Neodiprion lecontei: one gene and its partners. Each later gene encodes a partner of the first gene's protein in a complex. Links are inferred from orthologs where the notes say so. Each region holds a gene or a part of one and is shown on either strand. Other genes may lie near its edges.

Evidence for each region. Proteins that work in one complex are often made in the same cells at the same time.
Region 2: DNA primase large subunit (region 1) and DNA primase small subunit share a complex: the UniProt entries of both Drosophila melanogaster proteins name them as parts of the alpha DNA polymerase complex. The link is inferred for Neodiprion lecontei from reciprocal best matches to the Drosophila melanogaster genes Prim2 and Prim1.
Region 3: DNA primase large subunit (region 1) and DNA polymerase alpha subunit B share a complex: the UniProt entries of both Drosophila melanogaster proteins name them as parts of the alpha DNA polymerase complex. The link is inferred for Neodiprion lecontei from reciprocal best matches to the Drosophila melanogaster genes Prim2 and PolA2.

Annotation. Positions count from the first base shown.
Region 1 is NC_060261.1:14,008,583-14,016,275, forward strand, and holds DNA primase large subunit, read right to left. Parts: upstream 5,229-7,693; 5' UTR 5,051-5,228; intron 4,848-5,050; 5' UTR 4,842-4,847; coding exon 4,691-4,841; intron 4,471-4,690; coding exon 4,133-4,470; intron 3,967-4,132; coding exon 3,733-3,966; intron 3,659-3,732; coding exon 3,521-3,658; intron 3,369-3,520; coding exon 2,990-3,368; intron 2,890-2,989; coding exon 2,719-2,889; intron 2,621-2,718; coding exon 2,514-2,620; 3' UTR 2,426-2,513; downstream 1-2,425. Other genes in the region: L-threonine 3-dehydrogenase, mitochondrial, read left to right, coding at 1-52, 172-435, 599-859, 1,284-1,550, 2,139-2,299. UniProt on the Drosophila melanogaster protein: Regulatory subunit of the DNA primase complex and component of the DNA polymerase alpha complex (also known as the alpha DNA polymerase-primase complex) which play an essential role in the initiation of DNA synthesis.
Region 2 is NC_060261.1:38,829,634-38,837,117, reverse strand, and holds DNA primase small subunit, read left to right. Parts: upstream 1-3,356; 5' UTR 3,357-3,607; coding exon 3,608-3,710; intron 3,711-3,831; coding exon 3,832-3,982; intron 3,983-4,204; coding exon 4,205-4,380; intron 4,381-4,460; coding exon 4,461-4,659; intron 4,660-4,767; coding exon 4,768-4,978; intron 4,979-5,068; coding exon 5,069-5,450; intron 5,451-5,527; coding exon 5,528-5,547; 3' UTR 5,548-5,650; downstream 5,651-7,484. Other genes in the region: uncharacterized protein LOC124293032, read right to left, coding at 275-1,050, 1,152-1,974; uncharacterized protein LOC107219690, read left to right, coding at 5,952-5,970, 6,240-6,555, 6,616-6,785, 6,863-7,080, 7,158-7,484. UniProt on the Drosophila melanogaster protein: Catalytic subunit of the DNA primase complex and component of the DNA polymerase alpha complex (also known as the alpha DNA polymerase-primase complex) which play an essential role in the initiation of DNA synthesis.
Region 3 is NC_060266.1:1,915,881-1,923,511, reverse strand, and holds the start of DNA polymerase alpha subunit B, read left to right. Parts: upstream 1-3,297; 5' UTR 3,298-3,922; coding exon 3,923-4,001; intron 4,002-4,263; coding exon 4,264-4,489; intron 4,490-4,616; coding exon 4,617-4,671; intron 4,672-5,408; exon of another isoform or gene 5,409-5,727; intron 5,728-6,135; exon of another isoform or gene 6,136-7,631. Other genes in the region: dynein axonemal assembly factor 10, read right to left, coding at 1,589-1,796, 1,895-1,992, 2,102-2,602, 2,668-2,934. UniProt on the Drosophila melanogaster protein: Accessory subunit of the DNA polymerase alpha complex (also known as the alpha DNA polymerase-primase complex) which plays an essential role in the initiation of DNA synthesis.

The sequences.
Region 1 (7,693 bases):
CAGATTGATAACTGCCAAAACCATAACAAAATACCGAAGATTCTTATCACTGGTAAGTTGATTCGAACCATCGCTTTGTGAAAATAGATAAGGTGCGAATACATGACTTTCGGCATGACGTTTTTTCTATCTACCACTGCGGTGCGTTCAATTGTGGAATTTATATCCCAGGTGGATTAGGTCAGCTCGGCAGTGACTGTGCGAAACTCTTGCGCAGCAAGTACGGAAACGAAAACGTGATACTTTCCGACATCATCAAACCGACTGCCGAGGGTCTACGGAATGGGCCTTTTATTTTCGCCGATATACTCGACTTCAAGGGTCTACAAAAAATAATAGTCAATAATCGTATAGACTGGCTAATACATTTCAGCGCGCTTCTCAGCGCCGTTGGTGAGCAGAACGTACCCTTGGCCGTCAGAGTTAACATAGAAGGTGAGACGTGAATTATAAAAAAACATTGGAAGGTTCGAAATTTATTAAATCTGTCCCAACAGAATATTTTTCCAACACAAGCCTGTCAACTTTCTGCTACTCATTACAGTACAACTAGTTGTCATTTCATCTGGACCTTACAATTTTTTGTTCTCTATTACAGGAATGCACAACGTCATTGAACTGGCGAGACAGTACAACCTTCGGATATTTGTTCCTTCAACTATTGGTGCCTTCGGACCGGATTCTCCCCGTAATCCGACGCCGAATGTTACAATCCAGCGTCCACGAACCATCTACGGAGTAAGCAAAGTTCACGCAGAACTCCTTGGAGAATATTATCATCACAGATTTGGCCTTGACTTCCGATGTCTCAGGTTCCCAGGTGTAATTAGCAGCGACCTTCCCAGCGGCGGCACCACGGGTAAATAAAATCGCTTCTCCAACACTTAATAATCTGCGCTACTAGTAAATTAGAGAATTTCATTTAGAAGACGTCTTTTTTGAATAACCTGTATAAGCAGTACGCACTATAATTCATCCACATACTAACGGGTATCCATATGCATAATCAAGTGCTCATCTATGATTTACAATAATTCGTTATAAAATACATAATAGTGCTTTTATTCCGTTGTATAGCAGCAGCTTGCCAGTCGTTTTCTCAGCAACTAGACCGCGTACAAGTAAACTTTGCGGTTAAACTCTAATGAGGTATAATGCGTTTGAAATTTGAGTGGAAAATTTGAATAAATATAGGTCAAAGAATCGCATCGCGACGTGATGAATAAGCATCAATTTACAACCAGAATGCAATTTAATACGGAGATCTCTGATAATCTTTTCAGATTATGCAATATCGGTCTTTCACGAGGGTATGCGTCACGGAAAGTACGAATGTTATCTTGAACCGCATACAAGGATGCCTATGATGTATATCGAGGACTGTCTCAACGCGCTTTTTCAGTTCTTAAATGCACCAAACGAAGCATTAGGCAGACGAGTTTACAATGTGACTGCAATGAGCTTTACCCCGGAAGAACTCTTCACCGAGATGAAGAATTATATCCCTGATTTACAAATCACGTATAAGCCAGACAGTCGGCAGCTCATCGGTAAGTTAGACAGGGAAAAACCGTTCCATGATCAACGGACACATTTCAAAGCTTCATAGGACATGTCTAGGGGCCATTCACTTGGAAATCAGATGAATTATTCCAAATCATTATTTTTTTCCAGGTTTTCGTAGATTTCCAGTTTACCAAGTGATTTTAATTGATTTTCATTGATTTCCGAGCGCTTTAGGCCGATTGTCAGTGATTTTCGCTTCGGACAGAATCAAATGATATCACAAATCATCTAGAACACTCGAGGATCATCGGAAATCCTTTGGTAAACTGAAAAACAACGAAAGCACGTAATAAGATAGAACAGATAGGATGTTAATCAATTAAAATCATCTAGCGTTTACCATAAGATTTATATTTATTTTCGTTCCTTTCAACTCTTGTCACGCGATTTCTTCAGCGCTATCGTGATTTCAAGCTATTTGCAATAATTTCACCTACCTCCATTTCATTTCGAATTTGGTTCATTTTGAACAGTTAAATTTATGACTGCCCTGACTGAATTACCCTCGGGACATTTCGATAGAATTGATGCGAAAGCAAACTATTTATGACGAATGCTGCATCATGTTTTAGCCGATGCCTGGCCCCAAGTCTTTGACGACAGCGAGGCACGACGCGATTGGGGATGGAAACACAAATACGGTATGAAGGGTCTCGTTTCTGCCATGATTAGAGACGTAAACGAAAACTTCCTACTTAAAAATACCCAGCAACAAGTCAACAGCTACGTATAACCAATCCAGTACTCAACTTTCGAAGTGGTCCTTAGTGTAACTTCCCTTGCGTTCCAGTCATACAGTGCAACAGCTGCATGAAAAAAGAAACTAGTTGAACACTAGTTGAACTTTTTGGAAAGGTCGTATAATTTTTGAAAGATGTCTATTTATATTTGTTGTAAAAAAAAATAATTATAATATATATATATTAATAAGAAATATCGCTTGATGATTATAATACGGCCGTACTCAGTACAATATCCATGTCATCTGCATCATCCATCACTGGATCAGGTTTTGTTTGTTTCCCTTCGTTCTTTTCACCATTCATTGACTGTCCTGAAAGAGAAGAATAAAGAGGAATAAAAAAATAATTTTTCGGAATTAAACACAATATCTAAGTCAAGCAATTATAAACATGATTTTTCGTCACACACCTGTTCCAATTGATGAGTTTCCATTTGTCAGTACACTTTGGCTGTCTCTAAAGTAGACGTTTGGATGTATTACCGCGTGTGGTGGTGGGCATTTGTGCACAGCCTCAAAATACTTTCCACAAGCTATTTGGTAATGGCCACTTTCAACATATCCTGCTATATTGTTAATAGCTGAAAGACAAAATAATTTGATTAGGATGCTATCAACCGAAATTGCCTAACTGTAAAGTTCAAGTCAGAATTAAATCCTAGAAGGAAACAGTTACGATACCAGTTGAATTTAGACCATAGCTCAACATTTTTTGCTTGAGAATCTTTATGTCCGTCTCTTTGAATGCGCAACCATGGATTTGTTCAGGGCCAACATTAGACTGGATGATTTTCAGACAACCGTAAGGGGTGTAATTTGTTCGCTTCCCTGCCTTCCCATAGTTGTGTTTTATATTGTATAAGTGGTTCTTCTCAAACTTCTCAGGTTCCATTTTTTTACAAAATTCTTCACGCCAGAAACGAACTGCGTCTTCGTATAACACACCAATTCCTTTGATGAATAGACCATACTGCTGCCGACCTTCATGTTTCAAATGATGTTTCGCCCTCAGTGCGTCGTGCATGAACCTCATACAAAGAGGATACGAGGACTTTGAAAGCTGAGAAAAATGTTTTCCAACTATTTAAGTGCTATCCGTACACCATTTTCATTGTGAATATCTATGTGAATTTATTAATTGAAGGTTACACAGTCAAACACTATATTGGACATATGTAATTATATGTAGGTATGTGCATAAAATATTATTACCGCATCTAAACTTTCAATGGGAACAGCTGCACCATCTGAAATGGTAAAGTCGTCACCAGTATAAGTATTGTGAAGACTGTTCAATAAAGTGAAAAGTCTGTCATCTGTATTTAAAATTGGCATTCCACGTTTGGTGTACTAAACAGAAAAATAGTCATACTGTTATTTGTATAATTTTGCTGCGCATAGAATTTCTATATTTTCGTACTTACTGCCAACGCTGAAGCTAACTGCATCCTCAAAACTGTTACAAATACAGATATGAGCTCTTTGTCAGGGATATAAGCAAAGCCGGAGTGGACGTAAACTCTTCTGTTCCTGACTAAATCGGTCACCTTACAAAATGATACCTTATAAAAATCGTGAACCTCTATATAAGTATCTGTGTATCCAACTGTTGATTGAGTGAGGTATTCTTTGATTACTTCTTTTTCATTCTGTGATATCTAGTAAAAAAAATAATTTCAATCAACGGATGTTATTTGAAGCATAGAAAGGAACACAGTAATAGATGGAATAATCAAAACTTCAGAAATAAATACATTAGGGAACTGTCGTCGTACGTTTAAGCTTTGATAAATGAACCTAGGTATGTAATCAGTCCATACTTACAGGCACAAAGTTCATACTACTTATTTTTAAGAATTGCTGCAGACCCTCAGAATTTAAGCTACTGTATCTTAACTTGAACAGTTCAATTTCTCTACTGATGAACCATTTTTTCAACTCATCACTTGAACAGTATGCCAGCTGTAATATGAAGTGGGAAATATGATCCTTTCTTCTAGCTTTCAAATCTGATTCACTGTGAGTACCGCATCCAGTGCCCTGAAGAAGTTTAACGTAGTATGACAAACTATTGTCATCTCTCAATTCGCTCAATACTGTTGATAGACGCTTATCTGACTCTATATCAGTTTGCACATATACAGACTCAACTATCCGCAGAACTGCAACAGACATAATATTTGCCTCAGAATCTAATATTTTGTCTGCGGCGACGAATAGTATTATCATGTCAACCTGAACCTTGACCAAAATACCAACTTCAATATAGCATTGCGTAATACATCTGAGTAATTTGTTCTACGAAGTTATCATCCCATTGAGCCAAATAAATTTATAAGATTCTCAGAATGAGGGTTGCTTTGCTCAAAACTTGATCATTACCTTTTAATCTTTCGAGTGCCAGTTCTTGAAACTCAGCCAAGCTAATATCACCAGAAGGTGGTGTACAATATAATTGTAGATCATGTGGATAGGTTTCCTTAAGACTTGAGACTTCGGGCTTGATGCGTGATATTCTCTTTACATAGTCCATTTTCCACTTAAAACAGGAAACGAGATTCAGAGTATTACGAGCACATAAAATTAAACTTTGAATAGTTGCGATATTACAGTATATGTCAAATACAATATTACAAAACAGTTGCTGCAGACTAAAGTTTCGCGACAGGACTCAAGAGTGTGCAATAGTGTACAATTAACTTTTCCCGCTAAAACTGAATAAGTATAACCTATTCAACATACCAATAAATATCAACTCAACCTATAGATACAAAGGTAATTCAGCTTGGTATCGTTAATCAACCGCAATCACCTTTCTGAGGTGTAGCAAAAAGTATGTACTCTGTTAGAAAACAAGAATCAATATTTTAAGTATCTGGAATTCAACCGTCGCAGCCGCCAATTTTATTTATTAATTATTAATCGACATTGCCAATCGCCATGCCCCCTACAACTTTGGGTGCGTTCCGAAATTAGTGCTCAGTGCTGCCACTAATCGTTTATCTCTTTTGCGCTATTGAATTCATGGTTAGCTCTGCCTCTGTCCTAGGAACCTTTAGTGCTGCCAGCTAGTTTCGGAACGCACCCTTACATGTGAACTTGTAAAGATTAGTTTTAAGGGGTTAGGTGGGTTTCCAAATTTCAAAAAATCGAATTTTTTTTTTTTTGCTTATCTTATAATTGAATATGTTGAGAATATTCCTTTAAAATTTTAAAACGATCCGAGTCATATTCTAAGAGATATAGCCTTTGGATGTTTCACCCATCAGGCTATAACCAAGCGTGACGCAGGTATATGGAGGTTGTCTGCTGCAAATCAAGAAAAAAAATTAACGTGTAATGAAAATAATGTTGAAGATACGACAGATGTTACCGTGTCAGGTGATGGCACGTGGAAAAAACGTGGGTTTGCATCATTATACGGTGTAAGTACGATTATTGGCTACTATTCTGGAAATCTTCAATCGCGTTTTTCTCGAAACTACATTTTTGAAATCGGTAGTCACGATTTCTCGAAAACTTATGAACCGATCTCTTTCAAATTTTGCACACTTCTTCAAAATAACATTATCTCGTGCTTGAACGAAGGAATTTTTTTTTTCTCTATTCCAAGTAATTTTTCAAGGCCATGAAGGGTGCAAATTTTACTCAAAATAAGTGTTTTTTGTTTTCAACGCCGCCAAAAATGTAATTTTTGTTTTTTTTTTTCCTTCGTCCAAGCACGAGTTTTAAACATCTACTAACGGAAAATTTTTGGTTTATGCATTTCAGATGAATCTGTCATGAGTTATCCTGACTACGCCGAGAAAACTTTTTTTTGAGGGGTCATAGCAGACGACGTGTCCACGCCTTAATTTTCAATATTTTTCAATGAAAATTTCACAAACTACTTATAAAATATGTATCTTTTGTGTGTTAAATTGATGGAATGAAATATTCTGTTGACTAAATAAAAAAAAATTCATAAAAATGTACCTATTTTGAGCTTTTGAAACCCACCTAACCCCTTATGCAGGAAAGAATAGGTAAGGAAAACTATTTTATCGCTACTTTGCCGAAATATATAGGTCGCTTTCCTTTTATGTCAACTTTCTGACACAACTCGACACTAACAAGGAACCCTTTATGGGTTGCCTCCTCCGATTTTGATCCAGTTTATGGTATATGTATCCCAACATGTTGATTTCTTAATGTGTTTTATCGATTTGATTGAAACCAACGCTGAATTGTATATAGTTATTCTATTCTGTTTAGCTATTGCTCATCTTTGATAAAAATTATCAACGTTAGCTATTACCACCGATATGTCGAAAACGTATCTTTATTTGCAGAAATATGCGAAATCTGAGAAACATCAGAAACATGCACTTTAAATACTACTCAAACCACGACTCAACCAATGCAATTTAAAATTTTGAAAAATCTCGAAATGCTTTGACTCCAGAAATTTATTTCAACAAATCCGTGATTTTGAAAACGGGTGAAGCAAGACTGAAGACTATAGCCCAAAATTTGCAAAGAAATTCAAACTATTTGTACAGCAAGTCGATGCATTATTTCATTAGCGTTCTCTACAAGTATGCAGATCTATTCCACCTCTCCGTGGAACACTTTTATTCCAAATTCCAACAAGCCAATCGATAACTCATTCTTCATCAAATTCAGATCCTTTTGTTTTATAAGTTCTAATTACTCTGGAAGTAACGATTTCAACATTCATCAAATATTAGAAACAATTTTTGACGCATGTCAATTTCGCATTCAACATTCTTTTCTTGAATGTTGAAAATGGATCATTAATATCAATTAAAACTCATTTTTCCTTAGATACTAATTCTTTTTCCGACGATCCATTCCCTGCGTAGAGAAGTGAAGTCTGAATATTTTTTGCTCGAATAAATGAGGCTTATTAAAGCCCCTATAATATATGTGACTAACATAGAATACAGCAGTCTGAATATTAATAGGTGACATGATAATATAAATGACCCTTTTGGATTTTTGGTGAAAATTTTCGCGATTTTGAGAAGTGCTTGGAGAAATTCTTTCATGCACTACTCTGACGTAATTTTGCGAGAGGAATCGATTGGGCGCAGTCCCAATGCGCTGCGAGCAACGGATAAAAAGTTACAGCTGAAAAACGAAGAATTTTCATCGTCATTTCCCTGCTGTTGGTCCCACGCTCTTTTCGCTGCGTTTTCTGAGTTCCTGGGCGTCGAATTAGTCAGGAAATGGTCATATGAATCGAATCTGAGACCAAAAATTTTCAGCTCCAAAAATGAAGAAAAAAGTAAGGCTAACCCCTTTGCATTTTTGTCGAAAATTTTCACGATTTTGAAAAGTGCTGGAATAAATTCTTTCATGCACCATTCCGACGTAATTTTG
Region 2 (7,484 bases), about 25 Mb from region 1:
TATTGTTACAGGTATACCTGGAATGGAATAGTAAATTAATGAAATACTCGTAAGGAGGTTGATTCTGTCACGTGATAGTTGGTTTCAGAAAGAACATAAATAATTGCAGTCGCACATGTGATAAATTCAGTCTTTCTGGGCGAACGACATGGATTAATGGTTGAGTACAGTAACGCGGATGTACTTTGAGAATCGATATTGAAAGTAGGTAAGCGCAGGAGAAGAAAAATGTTCGACAATCGCACTGCAATTTTATACTTTCAACATATCGACGTTAATTCCGCAGCTGGTTCATTGATTTGAATTTCAAAATCAAGATCTCTATCACGAAAACTAAGCAACAAACCCAAATACAGGTTGTATAAACCAAAAACAGATATTGAAATTTGTAAATTGCACGAATTTCGAAGTACATTTGGGCACCTCGCCGCTTCAATATTCTCTCAGAATCATGCTCGTCGGGATCCCAATGATTCAAAATGCCAGATTCTGTCAACCTTTGAATCACGGTGTTAACTGACTTGCGAAGGACGGATTTTTTCTGCAAAGCGACAACCGGGTGATAAGCCAACACGCAATTGTTGAACACGTCGAAAGTTACGGATTCTTGAGTCTTGGCGATCGTCTGTCTGAACCAATTCAACGCCGATCTCCTCGCGAGGAAAGCATAGTTGTTATCGACCCTCGTGAGTTGATCCCAAATTGCCGAATCGTTATTGTCTACAACAAAGCGTTCGATGAGTCGCTGGGTTATTACACTGTCGTTTTCTTGATCCTTGAGAATTTTGTAATCGTAAAGTGAACCAATGACGGTGAGATTCGCCTTAATTATCCCATCGACATCCACGATCACCGAGGAACCTCCATCCGTCGCTAAAATTGATGCCAACGACGCTTTATACGCTGTTGTTATGACCATTGCGTAGTACAGATAGATGATCAAAACGCACCTTCCTCCCGTTGAAAAGGATACGTGGTTTATCGGATTCCCAAGGTGGAGTGTCAGGGCGTCGAATAAAACCTTGAAGAATCCCACGTGCTTTCGTTTAACTGAAATCCAAACGCCATTTGAGAGCGTCAACGAGGATGTCGGTTTTATTGGACTCCACAAATGTTGTTGGACACCTCATTGAGAGACGATGATTGCTTACCGTTTTCAGATAAAACGATGTTCCGATGGACGTATCCAAGCACCCAACTGGCCACGAAGGCCACTCCAACAGCAGCCCACACTGTCCCGGAAAATTCCATGAACACGATGTCGTCCTTCCAACTCAGTACACGAGGAACTCCCCAAGTTATGCATTCGTCGTCGTACGCGGCAGAAACTGCAATCTTGTTCTGCATTTCGTTCGTCGGACGCAACCGGCCGATGCCAATTTCGGTAGTACCATTAATAACGTCGTTTATGATAGCTACTTTTCGGGAGTACTTCATGCGATCAGCCATCGATGGATGTCTCAACGCTATGGTGAAGTTCAGTTTGTCGGCAAGTGTCAGGAGCAGCTTACCTTCACGTCCGCCAACAATGATCAACGAACCATTTTCGCTCTCTCTGATCATCATTTTTGGCGTGAACGTCAAAGAGCTTACGGAGACTGGACACCCGTTTAGGTCGTTCAATTTGAAGGCCCAGGTGTTCATCTGCCCCAAGTCCATCCCGGGTCTCCAAACTCTGGTTAATCGAGCTTCCGTAGAACAGTTCTTGGTCACGAAACGACTGTAGAGCTCAACGACGTCCTTCGCGAGCTGTGCGAATTCAGTGTATGGCATATTATGCTCATGAGCCCAGATGAAAATCGACCGAATATTATTAACCGGCATGATCGTGCTGGATACGAAGAGGACGTGGCATGTTTGACACCGTGAGAGAATATCGACGTTCTTTCGGAACTTCTTTTCGCTGAATTTGTTCAAAAATACAATTACAAGAGTTCTTTCGCTGAACCTTTCCAAGAAAGCACATTTTTCCATATTTGTACACATAATGTAAGGATAAAAGTTGAGCAGCGATTGAGCTTTACTGCGATCATTGGCGGATGCTCCGACAATTGTTATATGTCGAGGCTCGCTTTTTTCCACATAGTGTTTCAACAAATCGACAAAAAACAATTCCAATATATTGTTCAAATTTTTCACGATCAATGTTTGACCTCTCACTGATTTGGTTAAACTGTGTACTTGACAAAATAGTATTTGAAAGCACAATGTTTTTACCACCAAAAACTTCATTGCGCAGTAATATTAAATATTTAATTCTTCTTTCCAAGCATCGAACGTGATTTTGTTAAGTCACAAACTTGATTAAACCTTGGGTAACTGCTTTGTCTTTGATGCATGTGTCAAGTTTCATACCATGGTCGTACGTGCAAATTTGAAAGTATTCTTTGATTTTAGAAACACAGGACAACCCATTTTTGCGTTCCAGTATCCACCAGAGAGTTCCATCTGATTTTGCCCCAACTTCATCATGCCGCGAAAGCTTAGGGTCAACTTTTATATGTGAGTAAAATTTGTAATCATCGTTCAAAATCCACTCACGAGAGACGAGGGGCATTATAAATGACAGCAGTAATGAAATATGAATTCGGTAAGTCGCATTTAGACTGGTAGGTGATTGAAGAACACACCTAATTTGCTGTTTATCGGCGAATCTCGGTGTGTTGAATAAAATATTGAATCGCTATTTTACCGAAAATGTAAACAAGCTGTTTTGAACAACTCCTGCATCAAACTTATAAATACGTATAAATATTAATTCGTGACCTATAAAATATCGCCGTACCCATACTGTACTCAAAAAAATTTGACATTTTTTTGAAGGGAGTCGAATACGATTAGCGAAATTGATGTAGCCTGAGTTTACGAGGTAAGGTGTAAAAAACGTGTAATTACGATTGAAATGATTTATGGCAAAGTACCGACGCTTTGGTGATATGATATATTTTATTCATAGAATTACACGCACTGTTCATATCCAAAATACGTATAAACATAAATACGTCGTACTACAATGTGACCTTGTTGTCAAAATATGCAGTTATTATCCAATTACGTCTGTGGATGCATCCGCATTGTGTAAAGAAAGTAAGCTTAAAATACACTGTACTATTATAAATATATTTTGTTTTATGATAATTTAAAACAGTTACTTGGCCATAGATAGCAATTATAATTTTAATATGTGAGATATTTGACATGAACGGTTGGATGTGCCTGCCAGGGATTAATGAAGGTAAAGTCAGCTGCTTTTGAGGGCGAAAGTTGTGATCTCTGATTGGCGCAAATGGATCATTCATCTGAATCGAGCCAATTACGAGTCGACAATTCGTAACAGTTAAGATTGTGATTGACAGATCGCGTTCAGGTCGAAAAACCTGCTAGGAATTGGCGCGAAAATAATTCTGTCAAATTGCGTGTACACATTGTAACATTTGTAATCCTGTTGTGTATTTAATTTGTGGCAGTGTTCGTGAACGTGCGAAAGAATTTTGACGGAGTTTAATTTTCAGTCCTGTGATTGAATGATATCGTGAGTAAACTGCTGATTGAATGCAGAAGAAAAGATTCGATACGACCGTGCAATAAACGCGCCTAACCTAAAAGGATGTCAACCGAGGGAATAGAGAATCTGATAGATCTTTTGCCTCTTTACTATCAGCGGCTTTTTCCGTTTCACGACTACTACAGGTGGCTGAGCTACGGTGATCGTAAGTTAACTTGTCAATTTTAGCCGCAGGCTTATTATTTCTGTAGGAGGGAAATTTGTTGGTCTTTCTTTTAATTTTAATCCAAAGTCTTATCAATGGCGGTACATCCTTTTCTTTTCAGCCAGCGTCTTTTCACGCAGAGAATTTTCTTTCACCGTAAGAGATGACGTCTACATACGATATCGTTCCTTCGTTAATCAAGATGAACTACAACTGGAATGCAGACGACTCTTGCCGTTTAAAATTGATATCGGTGCGATATACAATATATGGTAAGAACCGAAATACCTTGGTCTACTTATTATTTAAATTCAACAATTCAAATTATGCCTGCTCGTTGTCAGATTCGTTTTTTACTCAAGCTCTCCAGTCTCATAATTCCAAAACCAAAAATTCTTCAATCTTCCATTATTTTTATCCGGAATTTTCCAGTATTTGTTTTTTTTTTACGTCAGTAGAAATAATAATCGATGTATTGATCGACTTCTCTTTAGCCCAAAAGATGAGAAGAAATTTTCAAGTTTTCTGCCGGTAGAAAGAGAACTTGTTTTTGATATAGATATGACGGATTATGACGATGTTCGAAGCTGCTGTTCAGGCGCCGACATATGTACAAAATGCTGGAAGTACATGGTGATTGCCTGCCAGATATTGGACTCCGCACTTAGAGGTAAAGCACTGTCAATGACTAATGTAAAATGATTTGAAACTTGAAGTGATAAATACCTAAAACTTGAAATTTAATATCAGAGGATTTTGGCTTTGAGCATCTATTGTGGGTATTTTCTGGAAGAAGAGGTATACATTGCTGGGTGTGCGATAAATCAGCTCGCGAGTTGAATTCGATGACCCGCGGCTGCGTTGCCGAATACTTACAGCTTATTACTGGTGGAGAACTAAAAGCCAAGAAAGTCAACTTTCCTGGCCCAAAATTACACCATTCTGTGAGGTCAGCGTGTAATCCGTTTTGGATGCTTATGAGTTCTTGATTCTTCCATTTGTGATTTGCATTCAAGAATCTGTTAGATCAGATGTTTATTCATTTTATATCTTACAGACGTGCACTAAATATTATAGAACCACTGTTCGTATCAATGTGCGTCGAGGAGCAGAATATGCTCGGAACAGAAGAAGGTGTTGCCAAATTCTTACCACTTATTCTTGACGATAGTTTAAGATCCCAGGTCAAGGATTTATTCAAAAAACATACATCTAGTGTTGAGCGTTGGGAGGCCTTCACTGCCTGCTACCAAGTCGAGAAACAAACGGTAGGATGATTACATTTTGTACAATGTAGTATCTTCAATTTTCTTGATGTTATTAAAAAAACTCATTTCCAACTTTCATCTTCTTTAAAGGGTAAAAAATGGCGTCTGAATCATCTTCTGGAGGAAATAATGATCCAGTACGCGTATCCGAGATTGGATATTAACGTGACCAAGGGAATGAACCATCTTTTGAAATCGCCGTTCTGTATTCATCCAAAATCGGGTAAAGTCAGTGTGCCGTTTAGCCCAAAAGCTATTGGTAAATTTAACCCGTTAACTGTACCAACGATAAACTTGCTAATCGAGGAAATCAATGCATTCGACGCCAAAGAAGACTCTATCCAAGAATCAAACACTAGGAGAAAAATCAAGGACTATAAAAAAACTAGCTTGAACAAATCTGTTCATGTTTTTCAAGAATTTTTAAGGAATTTGGAAGATGCTTCAAAAGGACAGAAGATTTTGCAGAGTGGTAATTTTTTATTTTCTCGTATCTTTTGTGACTGATATAATATATTATTATTGTATAAATGTCATTTTATGTTGCAGATATGTTGATGGAGTTTTAGTAATGCAAACCAATAACTGTGAACTATAAGATGAAACTCGTGTTTTAATTTTAAGTAATCAATAAGTTTCGCTTACAAATGAAAAATAAAAGAAATAAGTACGTTTAATACGTTTATGAATGATTTTGAATTGCTCTTTCGCAACAGTTTAATAGATTACTATAAACGCATCTGAACCGCTCACAATCAATAATGAATACTGATTTATTTCAAAGAAGCCAGGTTTATTTTAAAGTGTACAACCAAGTGGCTGTTGAAGAGAATTTTAGTTATGCGTAAAAGAATCCATAGAAGCTTTATAAGCCATTATACAATGTACGTTACTCTGCAGTATGGCTAATAAAATTAAACAGAATCATGTCTGGCTTCCCAGCCGACAGATTGTCTGATTCGCTCTTCTGGATATGTTTTATTTGTTTTGCGGTATGTAAGATTAATTTTTATTTATGCAAAGTAGTGGTTTTTTTCGTATCAAATTTCTCGTAACTATCAAGCTTGAATAAATATAATAAGCATATTTAATAAATAAATATGCTTACTCGCAAACAATTCCATTTCATTTAAATGTTGATTTTGATCTGTGTTGCGACAGCTATAGAAAAATTGTTTTCTATGTAAGATAAAGTAATCCATTTAATACTCTACTATCTCTCAATTGTTATGAAAAGTTCATCAATTTCATTTAAACACAGCCATCGGCGCATTCACTATTCTTTCGACCGGTGCAAGTAACTTTGTTCGAAACCAAGACATCTGTGGGCAAAACAACGGGCGACGACTTTATTTGGAACTCGGGGAGCGAGGTATTCTTTATGCGAAGAATGTTACATTTGTCAAAAATGCACCCAGACAACAAACATCACGAGCTTACGTCACCAACAGTTCACACAATCAGTGCAGTTTGGAACTCGTTTCTTGTCCATCTTGTATCATCACCGTGACATTTAAACACCTCGAACTGTCTCACCACTGTGGAGATGGAAGTATGATGATAGACAACCCCTGCAGGTACGTTACAACACCAACTTTACAATCAATCGCCGCCAATATCTTAATTCATTTCATTAGGTGCGATTACGTCTGGATCGCAGAACCTCCATACGAAGATGTATCTGGTACACCGTTTTGCGGCTTGTACACACCTCTCACGTACAGATCTAGCACGCGTACATTATCTATCACTTTGTTGTACAGCAAATCACACAAGCATGCTTTTGCAATGGAATATACAGCTGAGAGTGAGTCGATAACTCATCTACAATAAATTCAGAGGTTTATCTCCCATTGTTATAATTTAACAAAGTCATTCTTTCAGGGAATAGATTACACTTGACAGGTGCTGATATAGTGACCGGAGTCGCAAAAACACTAAACAACACTGGTGGTGGTATACTAACTTCACCATTTTTTCCGGCGCGTTATCCGAGGGATTTAGGAATGGAATACATAATAACATGTGCAGCAGAAGCTCCTTCTTGTCGAGTCAGGGTACTCTTTAGTGATTTTCAACTCGCTACAGTTTCTATCGTTGAGGTGAGAAAGGGTATTTGATCATAATTTCTCAGTGCCATATCCTTGAAGAGTTTAACGTTTACAATTTCAATCCATAGTTTTACGACTGGAATGGACAGCGTCTGGATGTTAGCAGCGGTGCTAGATTTCGACCACCGGTTATAGTCAGCTCTGGACCGTCACTTCTCATAAGATTTTATGCGAATGGAGGAACTGGTCTGGGCTACAAAGCATTCTATTCCTTTGTCATTGGTCATTTATACGACAAGTCAATACAACCCATCACTGATTGCGGAGGGTACGTTGAGAATTTGGGCGGAGCCATTACAATGATGGACATGGTCAATCAAGGAGCGAAGACCTACGATTGTGTCTGGTTGATCAGACCTCCAAAAAATTTTCTCCACATGAAAACTCATATGTAC
Region 3 (7,631 bases), on another chromosome or scaffold:
AAACGGGTGGGTACACGGAGCATGGATAACTCATGTAATTAAAGTCGCGGAATCCGTGACCTTGAATAGAGCCAGCCGGAGCCACTCAGCTAGCTATTTAAATGAAATCATCGGGTACCGCGAGCGTACGGATTCCGCCTCTTCCCCCCCCCTTTGGTGAAAGTAATTTCTAAATTGAAAATATGAATAGTTTCTCACAAAAACTTGTAGATTTTCATTCTCTGCAAGCCAATGCAATTTAAAAAAATAGGAAACGTTCGAATTTCCATAAAATTATTTGTGGTTGTAGAAATCATCGCCAGGTCCCTTAGTAAGAATCGAGTATGGCCGGCGCTGGTGAACGCCGTAAATGCTGTAATATCTACGATCGCATATCCGTAATCCCGTGTTTCACGCACACGCCTTGTGCCCGCTTCAACACAACGGTAAAATACCCTCGATTTCACGCTGCCCGTGTGCGGTGCGCGAGCAAAGAGCAAAGCTAGGCGAGCGATCGAGATGCTACGGGACTCGGATGCCATCACACGACGCGGTCGCAGCGGAACCAAAATGGCCGTTGCGTAACGACGCCGAATGGCCGCCCGACTCCGGTAGCGGCGTTAATAAGCGGTTGCTTACAAATAGACTGCCCCAATAACATATTATTCCCCTTATCTCGGCGCAACCCCTTCCTCTCCTGCTTCTTCTTCTCCTCCTCCTCGAAACTCTGTACTCTGTTCTTCTCTCCTTCACCTAGACTCGTTACATACGTGTTTTCGTAGTCGGTCATGTCCCCCACCTCGTTCTTTCTTCATCTCACTCCCGCTTCGTGCCCAGTTCTGTCTCTGGTTTCTAATGTTGTTGCATAATTGCGCAGGCTTTGAAAATCGATAGAACAGCGCAGAAACTCCCGTAGCTTATTCCTGTACCCATCTACCTACCTACCTAGCTCGTCTATAGACAATTTCACTATATCTATACTCTCGTAACTCACTCTCTGTATCCCTGTTACCGGTAATTCGCTACGCATTATGGAATCAAATAATGCCCGAACATTTTGATGGTAAATTATTTACATCGAAATTATAAAAATCGATAAAAAAAAAAACCACGTCATCGTGTTCAATTATACGATAAGAATAATTGACACCTTTTTTTCTTTTCTTCTCCCATCTCGTTGAATTGTATCTACAAAACAAAAATACTACAACTCGCTTTGTGATCGATGGAAGTCTTAGAGTCTTTTATTTTATTTTTCCGCGTATATTACCGAAGCTCTTCTATTCAGCGATATTCGGTACATATATATAGCGAAGAAATGAAACTATTTACAATGTACTGTGCTGAGAGCTCTCAAATACGTTATTGGGTTCCATAATTATTTTCTCCTTCTAGATTCAATCGCAGAACTGAGTCTCAAAGTTTTTGCATCCAACTTGATACAATTTTACGTCTTCCATTTTATTCTCGTGAACGGTTTTCTGCCCACCATTAGATGATACTGCTAATAATCCTGCATATACCATGGAATGTACGAAAAGCCGGCAAAGAGTAACGAGCCGGACAGATTTGAAAAAAATCTTGCAGAAAATGATACTTTTCTTTTTTTTCAGTACGTGTTCAGTTTCGTGGTGATTATGATACGAAGGCATTGATCAAACGCAGTGCAGACGGCAAGTCCTTGCTTGTCTGGACTCCAATCCAACGAACTGACTGGTTGAGAAGAGAGCGTGCTGTTCTGGAGCAGAGATACTGAACCGACTACTCCCTGCTCTATGCCATCGGCGTCTGCTGTCACTCGCTTTTCAGGATATTGGCTGCGGCACACAAGAACAGAAATTTTACATTGTGAGTATAACATTCGACTAAAAATTTGTTAGGAAATTATGAACTTGAGTGAATGAAATTTATCTACTATTTCCAAAGGCATAGCGATCCTCCACCTCCCGACGTCATGAATATCTCTCGGTTCTGGGGCAGATGACGTACCAGCCATATAGTTGATTTATGCGCCTGAAATCAAGTCGGATTATGGCTTGTTGCAATGCTCTATAAAAGGGTAATAATTACTTTCTGGTTATTTTGACAAAATTACAAGCAAAACAACTGAACTGCAAATTACTTTTTCTGAAAGATAAGAGAATCCTTTTTTGGGATGTTGAGTTTTCAGGTCAAACAGGTAGAACTTGGATTCAAGAGTGGTGGCGACCAGTTTGTTCATCGCGATATCTTTTCTGTCAAACTCCAATCCACAAACTCCGTTCTTCAAGTTGCTCTCCCATCTGAGAGCCATCGCCTTTAGGTCAAACATCTTAACGTCGCCATTGTCATAGCCAGCCGCGACGACCCTTTCTTCAGAGTTGTACGAGTTGCCAAAAGTGACAACCCAGCAGTCCCTACGGTCTTCGCCCTCATTTGGTTCCATTACTGCAACTGGCCGCCCCTTTTGCCGCGGATCCCAGACTTTGACGCTGCCATCTCTGGAGCCGGTGACGATTTCAGGAGCCCCGCAACCTATCGTCTGCCCGCCGATGCCGTCAATGGAGTTTATGATCTCCTTGTGAGCATTTGCCGAATAAATAGGAATCGCAGGATCCTCCAGGTTGTAGATATTCAGTTTACCCTGAAAATGATCAATTGTTAATCGACAGCGAGTAAAGAGCTGGTAACAGCGGCTCAGATTCTTACCTTAAAGTCTCCGGCGGCCAAGTATCTCTCTCTCAAACTTGACGCTCCGAAGGTGCCGCACTTCATCGGATTAGAGCGCTCGATCTCTTTGATCAGCTTAAGCTCCCCGCTGGATATTTCGTATATTTGAAAAACGCCAGATCCTCGCGGCCTCGAACCCATTACGACGAACTTTGCGCTGCTTGGTATCCACTTAGCGTCGAACAAAGAATAGTTCACTGACTTTTCGATGTGACATATTATCTGCGGCTTGGATAGTTTATCCATTTTTAAATCATTCGATACGGACTTGGTTGCACTTTCAGCCGCGAAATTCTACCAGCCGATATCGACACGAGGAGACAGCCTTTTAAATGACTGCCAACACGCGATAAACAAATACCAACGCCTCCTATTAGCTGTATGCCTTATTTATCGCTTCTGCGATTTTCATCAAGTGGTAAGCACTTCGCAGTAATCTACCGATGGTCAAAGTCACATTTCTGTTGTACAATAATGTTCATGAAAGTTTTGGGCTTCTGGCTAACTTATTTGGGATTCGAAATATAAATCCGAGTTCTTTTCTATATGAATTATGTGACAATGACTCCCAATCTCTCTGGTACCTCCAGCACTGTCAGTCATTGTCATATAATACTTATAGAAACAAACTCGCATTTTGTTTCGGACCGAAAACAAGTTAGCCGGATTTCCAAAGCATTAATAAACATTACTGTACTATCGGAATGCCAAATCCTAATAGACCATTTCGGAGATGAGCGTATTCGCATGCATAATACTTCTCTGCTCCCAGGTCAGGAAAATTTGCTCAGCGATACGCGTCTTTATATTTTTCAATCAACGGCGTAGTGGAGAAGCACCGGATGTGACTAGTAGCCAATCAGAGCGTAAGGATAAGAAGAATAAGGAGTTTGAATCAGGAAAGTTTGAATACTTACAACGGTCGTTTCGCGTCGCCGACAATCACTTGTTTCTCTTCTTGTTGATACAATGCGCGTTGATTTTTCGGCAGATTTTTTATCGCTCAAATAGCAGTGTGATTGGTGTTTTTTACGATTGAATAATTAGCCTCGTGCACTTGCATGGTTAGCTTGTCCTTCTCAAGTCATGATGTAGAGGAGGGAAAAACAGAGACACCGATGGAGTGAGAGCGTGATATTGAGTGAGGTTATGTTCGTTATTCCAGAGACCTCGAGGTACGTAAATATATTTGGCGGGAAAACAGAGAGCAGTCGGTCAGAGTTCAGACAACAAGATGGTGTTGAAGGATGCTTTGAAGGAGCATTTCGCTGTCTTCGGAGTCGTCGTTAACGACGAGGCGACTCTCAATAAATGTGAGTATCGAAATCTCAGCATTCGCGTTCGTCATTCGCACGTAGAAGTTAAAATCCTGCAGGAGGAATTTCGATATCTGTCGAAACGCGTCTCGCTAATTTTGGGGGTTGGAAAAGAAACCGTACCGTTTTAGTAGACTGTTTTCTTTGGCCCTTCTACCGAAATCCGAAAAATTGATTTGGGAAAACTGATCACATGCACGATTACCTACATTTTGATAGCTAACAGTCTATTTTCTAATACATGGTTGATCCTCCGCAGGTCTCGATCTCTGCGATTTGTACAATTTAAACGAAGAAGCGCTGGTCGAAACATGGATGGCATTCAGCGTGTCACAGTGCCGAGGCGACAACCCAACTGTGGAGTATTTACTGCGGATGGAAAGAAACGAGTTGAAGAAAGACATGGGCTCCGCTGGTAATTCAAAGGCTGATGCCAAACTGTCGAAACTCGCCGTGTATAACTCTCACTCAATGAAACAGTACAAGTATCCTTTGCAAACAAATTGAGTTGAAATTCTTGCACGTAAACCTTGGAAACTCAATTCGCCAAACTGCCAGACCTGGTACAAATACTTTTCAAAATAACAAGCAGATTCCTTAACTTGGTCCCAGTGATGACGAAGATATTTTGGAGCTCTACGGTGCGAAAACCCCAACGACGCCAAGAGTGAGTAAAAACAACACATTTTTCCATAATAGTTGTAAGACATGAATTTTTCCATTGTTTTTATTGTGTTTTTATAAAAACGTGCATTGTATCTTTTATTGCAACAGTTTCCCAGAATTATTTATCTCGCTTTTGCAGCTTTTACGGGCCGATAAATGATTACTTAATTCTATTCAAGAAATCCCAAACAGCGGAGAATAGTCAAAAATTCTTTTCACCGCAGGTGGAAGATAATAATGTCAGGATATATTCTTAGAGTAGCGGAGCTAAAGGGGCAGAGGGAGGGGGGGGGGGGGGGGGGATATTTCCACAACCCATCATTATAAAGGCATTATCGAAAGTATGCGCCATCGTGTGATTCATTCCTGTATCTCCCCCTCATTGCAGGCTCTATCCTTTCCTCCATGTATTATGCCACGCAGGTATCATTTAGAGATCAAGATACTCGTTTTCGATCCTCAGTCGAGCAGGCAGATCACATACACGTTCTGTACACTACGAGTTTTGCTTTCTTGGCTGTTACTTTTTTCGTTTGTTTGCCGCGCAGGTTTTCAGCTCGCTGGTGATAGTTGCCTCAACTTTTTTAATCTTTTCATTTTTTGTTCATAATCTCTTCATTGGTTGGTTCCCAGGCAAAGAAGATCGATTTACATGCGTATGTGCGTGTCTCTACGTGTGTTGGAAATTGTGGTTTACTTTTTTCCCCATGATAATGGAAAGGAATCATCGTTTCGTACGGTTTTTTTTTTTCCATTCCACTTTTTCCCTCCGGCGAATTTTGGAAATATTTCGAATCTCCCAAGGTTCCTATCCGGCTTTGTGTCTGTCTCTTTTTCTCTCTTTCATTCCCCACTTTTCTCTCGTCTCTTTTCTACCTCTCCCCTTGTTCCGTGAAACCGCCTCTCCTCCCGATCCTGACGGCTAGCCGACCGATGCAGCCGGTGGTGGTAGAAGAGCAGGAACCGAGCAGAGCGTTAGGCAGTTTGATGAAAGCGCCGTTGCCAAGCTTACGTCAAGCGAACGCGCGCCGCTTCGTAATTTGACGAAAATTTCGAGCTGCAATATAATTTCATGAATACATGTTTTATCATCAGCAAAGATTTTCGCGCGTTGCAAATTATCGTAAAAAGACGTTTCAACCTTGTCGTTTGTTCGTTCCGTCCGCGTTCATTGAAATTCCATGATCAAATTCACGCGGCGCGATGTGTTCAACTATTTTTGTAAAATATAAATCCGCAATTTCATCGTAATAATAATAATAATAATAATAATAATAATAATAATAATAGTAATAATAATATTATTATTATGTGAGTCGTCAACGAGTCGGAGAATCAAGAGAATCTAAAACTGCAACGTTCGTTCAAACTTGCTTCGAAAATAACAAAGAACTCGTTCGAACAAGATCGTGGTGTAAAAAGACAGGAGTAGTAAAAAAAATTTTTTAAAACAAGATCAATTTACCTGGCAGCGAGAGGAAATTCCTCACTCGGGTATAATACATGCCTTGCCGCGGAAACGTTGGAGGTAACGGAATATCGAGCCGCCTGTTTGTCGGCCGCTCGGAGTACGCATCGTGAATTCTCGAATCAAAGTCCGGTTCGTTCCAACGGCTTTTCGGATTCGATTTTTTTCAAACCCGTCAGACAGAGAACGACACGTATATATATGAATCTCCAAGGAAATGCGGATTGGCATGTGTTCGTCTCTCGCTAAAACGCGCCGCGCTTCCGATCGGCGAAAAATGATTGTACATTATTAAAAGCACGCGATACGATTTACATCGTACCTGGTTTTCGCATTATTCTGGACCTGCGTAATTTCATACAACATTGTTTATCCAAACTCGCGATCTCTTTGTTTGTCTTTTTTGCCATGGGGAAATGAACCTACTCCAACCTTGATTTTGACGTCAATTTTTTTGATTCTCTAGTTGGAATATATTGTCGGATAATTTTTGGAAAGTTTGATTATCAATTCAGCCGATCTTTCTATTAGATGAACTTTACTCGATTCGTTGATTATGCAAATTGAAACAGACGATACCACGTTAATTCGTCGAGCTGTTAATTCCGCTCCTTTAGTATTCTACATTACGGCAGTCACAAGTGTTGTAATATCGTAAACGACTGCCGAAAGGTCCGAGCATCGTGGAAGAAAATTTCTTGAAATTTTCAGTACCGTCCAGTTTATAGGGTAATTCGCCGAGTTTTTATACTACAAAATCGGGGTCCGGGCTCTGGGACCTAACATTACGTCCCTGGGAAGCATACGGTGCTGTGCACGGTCAGCGACGTTTGAAAGATCGTGTGTTGGCAACACTGTCGCGCGTTCTTTGTGCCGGGACCGAGTTTCTGTAACCAGAGTCAGTGTGTGTCGGTGTCGGTGTTGGTTTCGAGAAGAGAGCAGCATCGAGTCAAGTTTATGGCCGTCGGCCGGCGCGTACGCGTCTCGTTCTCTTCCCGCGTCTCTCGGTCGAATTCGTGGTCCTTCCTCAGACCCTAATCTCGACTCCTTACTTTAAAAAACTTGAAACTTGTAATAACTCGACATTCAAATGTTTCAAGATCATCTATACAACTTGTAGTCACAGGTTAAAGTTGAACATTGAACAATATTGAATACCAAGTCGTTGTGTTTGTGTGCTTGATATTTGGAGTTCAGTAGAATCGATTCGAAAATCACTCTATCACTTCCTGTTATGAAACGTTAAATGAGCCTAATCACGAAATTTATACTGAAAAGATTAAGGAAAAGAAACTCCGACTACATAGTGTAACATAGATGGTCTTCTGAATTCAAGTTTTTAGACTTTAGTAGTAGAGTTGAGATTTTGGTGTAGGAAAATAACGGCTGTGAATTCGGTCGAGGATGAGGGCTACTGTCGTTTTTATATCACCGCACGAAACGCGACACCTCGAAAAAGAGGAGAGAGAAGAGAAGTCAAGTGGACAGTTCAC